Linked DNA regions of Caenorhabditis elegans. The protein of the gene in region 2 purifies or fractionates together with the protein of the main gene of each other region. This does not show direct contact. Each region holds a gene or a part of one and is shown on either strand. Other genes may lie near its edges.

Region 1 (5,126 bases), on a different chromosome or scaffold from region 2:
ACGGTGGGCGCGTTGAGGAATGGAAGTGATTTCGCTGCCTTGTCGAGCGATTGTTGGATCCTCGCAAGTGAGCTCGTCCCCGAAATAAGCACTCTGACCGCCGATTGATCCGTCATCGCAGGCCTCCAGAGCAGGACGGCGATGGTTCCATTCTCAGCGGCCGCCTTCTCCACTTCTGCCTCGTTTCCTCCTGCCAACGCCTTTGTGATCACTTCGGAGTCTTTGACGTCTCCAGCCAGAATATACATGGAGAGAACTCCTTTTGCAGCTGACTGGTATATGATGTGTGCCGGATATTTCGGGCTGAACAGTGGCGGTGCAACGGAGAGAAGCTTCGAGTTCGCTTCTTGAATTGCTTTGGCAATCTCTCCACTGCTTCCCGGCTTGGCAGTCTTGAACGGCTTCGTGTTGGTGAACACCGGCAACGGTTTTCCCTGAAAAAAGTAGATTATCAAAATTTTCATTAAAGTTTCTACAAACCTGTTCCAACAGAGCAGACGTGGTTCCGAGGTTACCAAGCGTCGGCGCGGCGAGCAGCACGGCAGAGACGTCCCTGACGTGAGCCACGAATCCTGGGCTTTTTTCGGCGAATCCCCCATCGAGAATGTAGACGCCGTCAAAATCAAACAAGGTGGCTGTGTTGGCCGCACCGCCCAAGACGTAGACGCATGCCTTCGACGACATGATGTATTCTTCCGGCATCTGGAAAGAAGGAGTAATTTTCAACAGTTTTAAGCACGTATACGTAGAAAATGAAAGAGAACGCTGAAAGATTGAATTATGGCGAATTTTATGCCAAAATAATTACAAAAACCCTAATTTCGGAGTTTTTCGCGCTTTTCTGTAGACTTAAGTTCATTTTTCAACCATATTAGCGACTAAAAATGTTCAAAAACTAATCAAAAATGTGAAATAAACGACAAAATTATAGGGAAAATGCAAAAGCTTCTTGGCTGCTGACAAAATTGCAGATTTTTTAGGATTTACAAAAAAAAGGTTTCAGTGGGCGGTGCCAATTCGCAACCACCGCACGCTCATTTCGCAAGCCTCGCACGTTTTTTCAGTGATCTTTTTAAATACCTTTTTTAAAGAAAAACGCGCGAGAATAAACAAATAAACAAATAAACAAAAACGAGACAGAAAAACACGAATGAGCTCTCTCGCCGCCTTATATAGCGCGGTGAGAGACGCAGAGAATGCAGGGAAATCAGAATACGACCGCTGCCGCCGTGGATCAAGATCACTAGTGATATCAGTCTCCTCTTTGTTTGATCTACCAGTAGAAGTGCAGAGCGCCTGCGATGGGTGGATTTTTTTCATTTTCAACTTTTTCAATGTCGCTGAATCAATACGTCATTTCTATTGGAAGCTAGTCTTTTTGGTTATTTTTTAGATTAAGTTTGAGTCTTGCGGTGCTCGAAAAACTCAAAATCTTTTTAAATCCACTGGTATATATATATTGGGAGAATTGAACTCTGTGCATTTTTCCGTCACTGTGTTCGCGTACTTTTAAGTTTTTATGGCGGCAGCGGCGCCATGTTCAGATGTTTTTTTATATGTTTTGTGATCTTTTCATCATTTTCTTGAAGAATTTGCAGATTTTTTTTCATTTTCAGTGAATTTTTCTTAATAAAAACTTTTTTTTTCCATTTAGATTGGATTTCTCCGCATTTTCTTCGGCGAAACAAGAGATTCTCTGTTTTTATTGCATTCTAAAAACGTTAAGCCAACAATCAATATTTTGTCGTGTTTCTTGTTTTCCATCTCCTTGTTTTTAGAGTTTTAAAGTAGGAAACGTGTTAAATAAGTGCAGTTTTTTGTGTCTATCTATTTTCCAAATGAACATTTCTGTAATTAGAGAGAAGCTGCCACACACAGCGTTATGAATAATTATTTTCTTATCTTTGCGCCGTGTATTATCACTTTTTGAATTGTTTTCCACCGGAGAATCGTTTATTTAATTTTGATCATTATTTTCAGTACGATGACCATCACTGCTCCACCAAAAGACGAGATTATCTCAAAGTTTCCGGGCTCTGAGCCACTTCTCAACTTTTACAATGAGCTCTCGGATGCCGAAAAATCGAAGCTTTTCCACCAAATTTCAACTCTAAACCTTTCGGAAGCTCATCAATGGTTCATTGATTCAGCGGATCAACGGGCTCCATCAACTGCGGAAGACCTTAAGCCGGTTCTTGATTCTCAGCATTTTGTACAAGCTGAATTGCATCAAGTGGTAGAGACTTTTAATATTTAGGTAAAACCATCATTAAAATTACATTATTTTCAGATCCTCGATGGTCTCTGGAACAAGGGAATGGATGCTATTGGACGTGGAGAAGTATGTGCAATTGTGCTCGCCGGTGGACAAGCTACACGTCTTGGATCAAGTCAACCGAAAGGAACGATTCCATTGGGAATTAACGCTTCATTTGGAGATTCTCTTTTGGGAATTCAAGCTGCCAAAATTGCACTTCTTCAGGCTCTCGCTGGAGAACGGGAGCATCAGAATCCGGGAAAAATTCACTGGGCAGTTATGACGTCACCTGGAACAGAGGAGGCTACTCGTGAGCATGTGAAGAAACTGGCGGCTCATCATGGATTCGATTTCGATGAACAAATTACTATTTTCTCACAAGATGAAATTGCTGCATACGATGAGCAGGGAAACTTCCTTCTCGGAACTAAAGGATCTGTTGTTGCTGCTCCAAGTATGAGTTTTTACGCAATTCGTGTACTCCTCGAGGAAAACTGTTTTTACGAATTTTTCAGCTATAATTCTGACTTTTTGATTATTTTTTAATCTTCAAAACGAAAAATTATATGACATTTAAAGTATTTTCGGTGTCAATATTGAAAGCAGTATTAATTGCATGGATTTTCACCCAAAACACACTAAAAATATAAATTAGTTGACGATTTGAATTTAAAAAATATCTAAAATTAAGTATTTTATCCGAATACTTAAAAATTTCGTACAAAAAAATAATTATTCTTTCTCGGGGAGTACACCAGCTGCGTAAATCGACACAAAAATTTTAAAAAATGAGTTTTTCAACGAAAAAAAAATCGAATTTTCAATATTTTAAAGATAATGTGTTCTCATCAAACTCAACTTTTTTTAGAACATAAAATCTAGACTTTTTTCTGGATTTCAAAAAAAGAAAATTATCGATTTTCTCACAAAAAACCGAAAAATCATATTTTTTTTCAGACGGCAACGGAGGTCTCTACTCTGCCATCTCTGCTCATTTGCCACGTCTTCGCGCGAAAGGAATCAAATATTTCCATGTGTATTGTGTGGACAACATTCTGTGCAAAGTTGCCGACCCTCATTTCATCGGATTCGCCATTTCAAACGAAGCTGACGTTGCAACCAAGTGTGTTCCGAAGCAAAAAGGAGAACTCGTCGGATCAGTTTGTCTTGATAGAGGACTACCACGTGTCGTTGAATATTCGGAGCTTGGAGCCGAGTTGGCTGAACAAAAGACACCGGATGGAAAATATTTGTTTGGTGCAGGATCTATTGCAAATCACTTTTTCACGATGGATTTCATGGATAGGTTTGTAATTTCAAATTTGGAGAAAAAGCTTAATTTTAAAATAAATACAGAGTCTGCTCTCCATCATCTCGTCTTCCATATCATCGTGCTCACAAGAAGATTTCCTATGTGAATGAGCAGGGAACCATTGTCAAACCGGAAAAACCAAATGGTATCAAGCTGGAGCAGTTTATTTTCGACGTCTTCGAGCTCTCGAAGCGATTTTTCATTTGGGAGGTGGCGAGGAACGAAGAGTTTTCTCCATTGAAAAATGCTCAATCTGTTGGAACTGATTGTTTGAGCACTTGTCAGAGAGATTTGTCCAGTGAGTAGATTTTTCTGTGAATTCAGAATTAAAATTGATTTAAAAACTGATTTTCAGATGTGAACAAGTTGTGGCTGGAACGTGTTCAAGCGAAAGTGACTGCAACTGAAAAGCCGATCTACTTGAAGACAATTGTCTCCTACAACGGAGAGAATCTTCAAGAACTCCGTCATCGTGAAATTTCTGATAGTGCCTTGGAATCCGATCATTCGATTAACAAATTCTTTGTTGTCTAGTCTTCTTTTGTTTCATATTTATACTGATTGCCCTACTCATTCCCCTATCATTTCCCAGCCAACTGTGTTTTATTTATGTTAAAATCCCCGTGATGCTTTCAAATTTCCTTCGGTATTTTCCCCAAAAACCGTAGTTATTAGGCCGATATTATTGCTTGACATCCATTTGTTTTAAATTTCTTAAATTTTCGTAAACTGAAACGAGTTCGAATACAGATTTTGTAAATACTAAAAATGTTAGAATGAGTTGGTACAATTTTATAAATTTAAAAATGACAATTTATTAAAAAAAAAAGTTATCCTTGGAAATGTGCCTTCTGTTGGGAGGATGTATTTAGTCATTAATTTCCTGAAAAGAGCAATAATTTAAACAAGCAAATAACAAAAATTAAAAAAAAAAAACTTACCTAATAGGCCTGCCACGCGGGACTTGTTAGCACCGGATCCAATTCGAAGGCAATCTTCCTCTTCTTGTGCATCTGAGCCACCGTGGCTGTCGAAGATGTCGCAGTAGAAGCTGCTATCCGAACATTCTCCAGACTCTGTAGATCCACCGAAACCACTTTGGATGATGGCTTCTCTGTCGTTCTTCGCCTTTGTTCCCATTTAAGCTCACGCTCTAATATCTCGAATTTCTCCTTCAAAGTCCACTCGGGAGCATCAAAGGGACTTAGCACCGGTTTCCAAAAGTTTCCTGATTCGAATAGAAGAAGAATATTCAAAAACTATTCAGTAGTAATTAAATATAAATAATTAATAAAATCAAAGTGAGAGAGCCTGTACACAAAAGCTCGATGAAAAGTATGAATGAATAATTGTGGGGTACGGAGGACAGTGTTAAACTAGAGATTAGAGACACAGACTGTTTTATATAAACAAAAAAGTATTGGTCACATTGTTACATTGTTTGAAAGAACATTTGAACGAGATTCTGAGCGTTTTTAAATTTTTGCAGCTAAAAATACGGTACCCGGTTTCGACGCGACAATCATTTGTTAAATGCTAAAAGATGTGCGCCTTTAA
Region 2 (3,055 bases):
TCTTTGCAAATGGTGAAGTGACATTCCTTTGGAACTTTTTCATCCCATAGTTTTCGCTTCCGACTGCTCTTCGTATGACCATGAGATACCAGAATTCCATCTTCCTTCGTTTCGGTGATTAAAACTCCAGCATACCGCTCTCTAATGAAATGATGAATGCTTTTTCGATCTTCCTTGCTCAAATCGTCAACTTTTACAAGAACGGGATCTCCTTTCGTAGAGAATCGGTCATTTAATGCAGCTAATGTCTCTTCTGAGATGCAATCTGGCTTAGCAACACACTCTTCGATCTCAATGTCTTCTTTTTTGGACCCAGTACTTTCTAGGACAACATCTGGCGATGGAATGGCCAAAACTGTGTGGTCGGCTGAAAATAAAATTAATTCTAGTAACATTAATTGAGTTTGATTAAATAACCTAAAATTTCTTGAACGATGAAGTCACTGTACATTTCTTTCAGTAGGCAGGGCACAGGAGTGATTGTATGCTCACTGGCATACTCGGTCAATCCAAATTCGGTTTCCATCTAAACTTTATTCAATAAATACATGAAAGAAATCAGACCAAACGATAAAACAAATTATGCGTAAAAACCATATTACAAGACCCCATTAGCAGAATAATCAATGAATTAACGTGTGAAATTTAGAAGCGCTGAGTCATAAAATTGCAATCGTCCTGGAACCCGAATTGTGAGTAGAATGGGAGAAGTTCAGGAACACACTCGAGAGAAATTTTGTAAACTCCGAGAGACTTTCCAAGAGAAACAAGAGTCTTCAAAAGAACGGCTCCTAATTTTTGACGACGCATTTCAGTATCCACGACAACATCTTCAACCCTTCCGCGACTTCCTGCCCCGTGAATGAACTTCATTTCGACAACCAAACTGGCAGATGCAACAACTTTTTGAGAATTGGAATCTTCGATGACGACTATATGATAATTGGGGACCGAGGTCCTCATCGCCTCAAATCGCTTTTCAAATGCTTCCTGATCAAGATTTCCGACCGAAGTCAACTGACTCAGAAGATCAACATATCCTTTCGAGAAATCGTCTTTTGCCAAGGGACGAACTTTAAAATTGTCAGGAAGATTCGAAGGAATGTGTGGAGCTAACACAGACGCATCAAAAATGTGAGACATATTTTCTCTGAAGAAAAGTGATGACAAATCGTTCGAACGAATGAGAAAAACTTAGGAGGAATCTAGCGCAGCTTGCTAAATATTTGAAAAAATGAAAATTAAAATAAGGAGAGAAATTATAACTCGAACGATGCGGAGATTTGTTCCAAATCGACGCAAAAAATAAATAAATCAACGTTTAAAATTGTTCCTAGAACTAGGCCACGGCCACGCGTTCTCTCGGCCATGTACTCCTCTCGGACAAACATTTTAGAAACATTTTACATTGAACGACCTGTGAAATCAAAAGAAAACGTTTTACTTCTTTTTTTCTTTATTTTTTTTTCAAAACTCCAACTGCCCAGTATCTGCCATTGGTTTTTCTATTTACTTTCTCATCGCGCACTTACACACTTGCAGCTGCACTCGTTTGGCGTATTCTCTCCTCAGAAAAAGAAACTCTGCGTCGGCTCCTCCCTCGTCCAAAAATGTTTCCATTACTCATTTCCGCTCTTTTCTTCTTGTTTCCGTTTTTGACTTTATTTTTCTGTGTCCATTGATTTTTCTATACAATTATTCATTTCAGAATGTTAGATAGACTTTGGGAAGTGCGCCAAGCACTGCCCCTTTATCTGTTAGTATCTACGCTTGGACTTGCCATTTCATGTTGTTTTACTCTCATATGTCCTCACGTTTGTCGATTGATACCTGCACTAACTACATATGGAAAAGCTGCTGATCAACAAGAAGATAACTCTTTGGTAGAAAAAATATCTGTACCTAAAAAGTGAGTACAGTTAGTCTTTGGGAGTTCTATCCTTGTCTGAAATTTTTCAGATGGTTTAAGCATTTTTACGCAATCGGTCTTCTAACACTTTTTATATGTCTACACACTGTCCACTCGTTAATCTACAATCCTAATTATCTGCATCCAGTGGTTCTCAAGATTCTTGCCACGCTAACACGATCCTACAGTATACCACCAAGTAAGTTTTTCTTTTAAAAAAAAAGTGATTTTCTTTTTTTTTTTTTGATTAGTGGTTTTTGGAATATATGCGAAGTCGCGACGCAGTTGTATTAATTTCATTGTTTTCAATTTTCAGTAGAACTTAAACTTTTTATTTTCAGTCAAAAAGTGTCTATTACTCAATTTTGTAAAACAACAAAAATATTGTATTCTACAAATGTTATATTTTAATAATGTTTCAAATATTTTATGTAATCACTGTAGGGCTTCAAACATGTGGTGTTGCTTTAAATTTTTCAAAAACTTCAAACGTTTCGTAAATTTAAAAATAGATAAATACCATTTGGCAAATTACCAAAACTTTGACTCAAATTTTCAGAAATTAGAAATTTGATTAGAATATCATATTATACACTTTTAAGTTGAAATAAATATGTTTTCAGTTACCCCAAGCACATCAATCTTGGCTCTCCTGCTCATAAGCCTTCACGTAGCACGACGTCTCTATGAAACAATATTTGTCAGTGTTTACTCGGACAGTCGTATGAACTTGTTTCACTATGCAGTTGGGATAGTCCACTACATCATTCTGCCAATTTCAATTATGTGTGAAACACAGGGAGTTGCTTCCAAATGTAAGAAGATACTTATCTGAAATGTTCTAGTAATTTATTTTCACAGTACCTCAGCTTCACGTGTCAATTGATGATATTTCTCTCACCCAATGGGCTGGAGCTGTCCTTTTTTGGATTTGCAATTGGAAACAACATCAGCTAGCCGAACAAATAGCAAATACAAGAAAAGGTCCTAGAGGACTAATTCGCAATTACGCCTATGGTATCTGCTTTGGTGGTTGGTTCAATCTCGTCTCATGTCCTCACTTTCTATTCGAGATATGCATCTACTTGTCACTTTTTCTTGTAATTCCTGATGCCTACGTGTATAGAGTAAGTTGTCAGTTTCATC

Evidence for each region.
Region 1: the proteins of gna-1 (region 2) and C36A4.4 fractionate together in Caenorhabditis elegans (co-fractionation; one large-scale study listed by BioGRID). This does not show direct contact.

What each region holds. Positions count from the first base shown.
Region 1 is NC_003281.10:3,840,469-3,845,594, reverse strand, and holds C36A4.4 (putative UDP-N-acetylglucosamine pyrophosphorylase), read left to right. Parts: upstream 1-1,980; 5' UTR 1,981-1,984; coding exon 1,985-2,236; intron 2,237-2,290; coding exon 2,291-2,711; intron 2,712-3,214; coding exon 3,215-3,563; intron 3,564-3,613; coding exon 3,614-3,867; intron 3,868-3,924; coding exon 3,925-4,103; 3' UTR 4,104-4,349; downstream 4,350-5,126. Other genes in the region: maph-1.3 (Microtubule-associated protein futsch), read right to left, coding at 1-434, 481-702; C36A4.11 (uncharacterized protein), read right to left, coding at 4,445-4,452, 4,511-4,709.
Region 2 is NC_003283.11:10,319,009-10,322,063, forward strand, and holds gna-1 (Glucosamine 6-phosphate N-acetyltransferase), read right to left. Parts: upstream 1,144-3,055; coding exon 646-1,143; downstream 1-645. Other genes in the region: Putative pseudouridine synthase B0024.11, read right to left, coding at 1-367, 418-526; srdf-3 (Polyprenal reductase), read left to right, coding at 1,710-1,909, 1,960-2,108, 2,533-2,724, 2,771-3,036.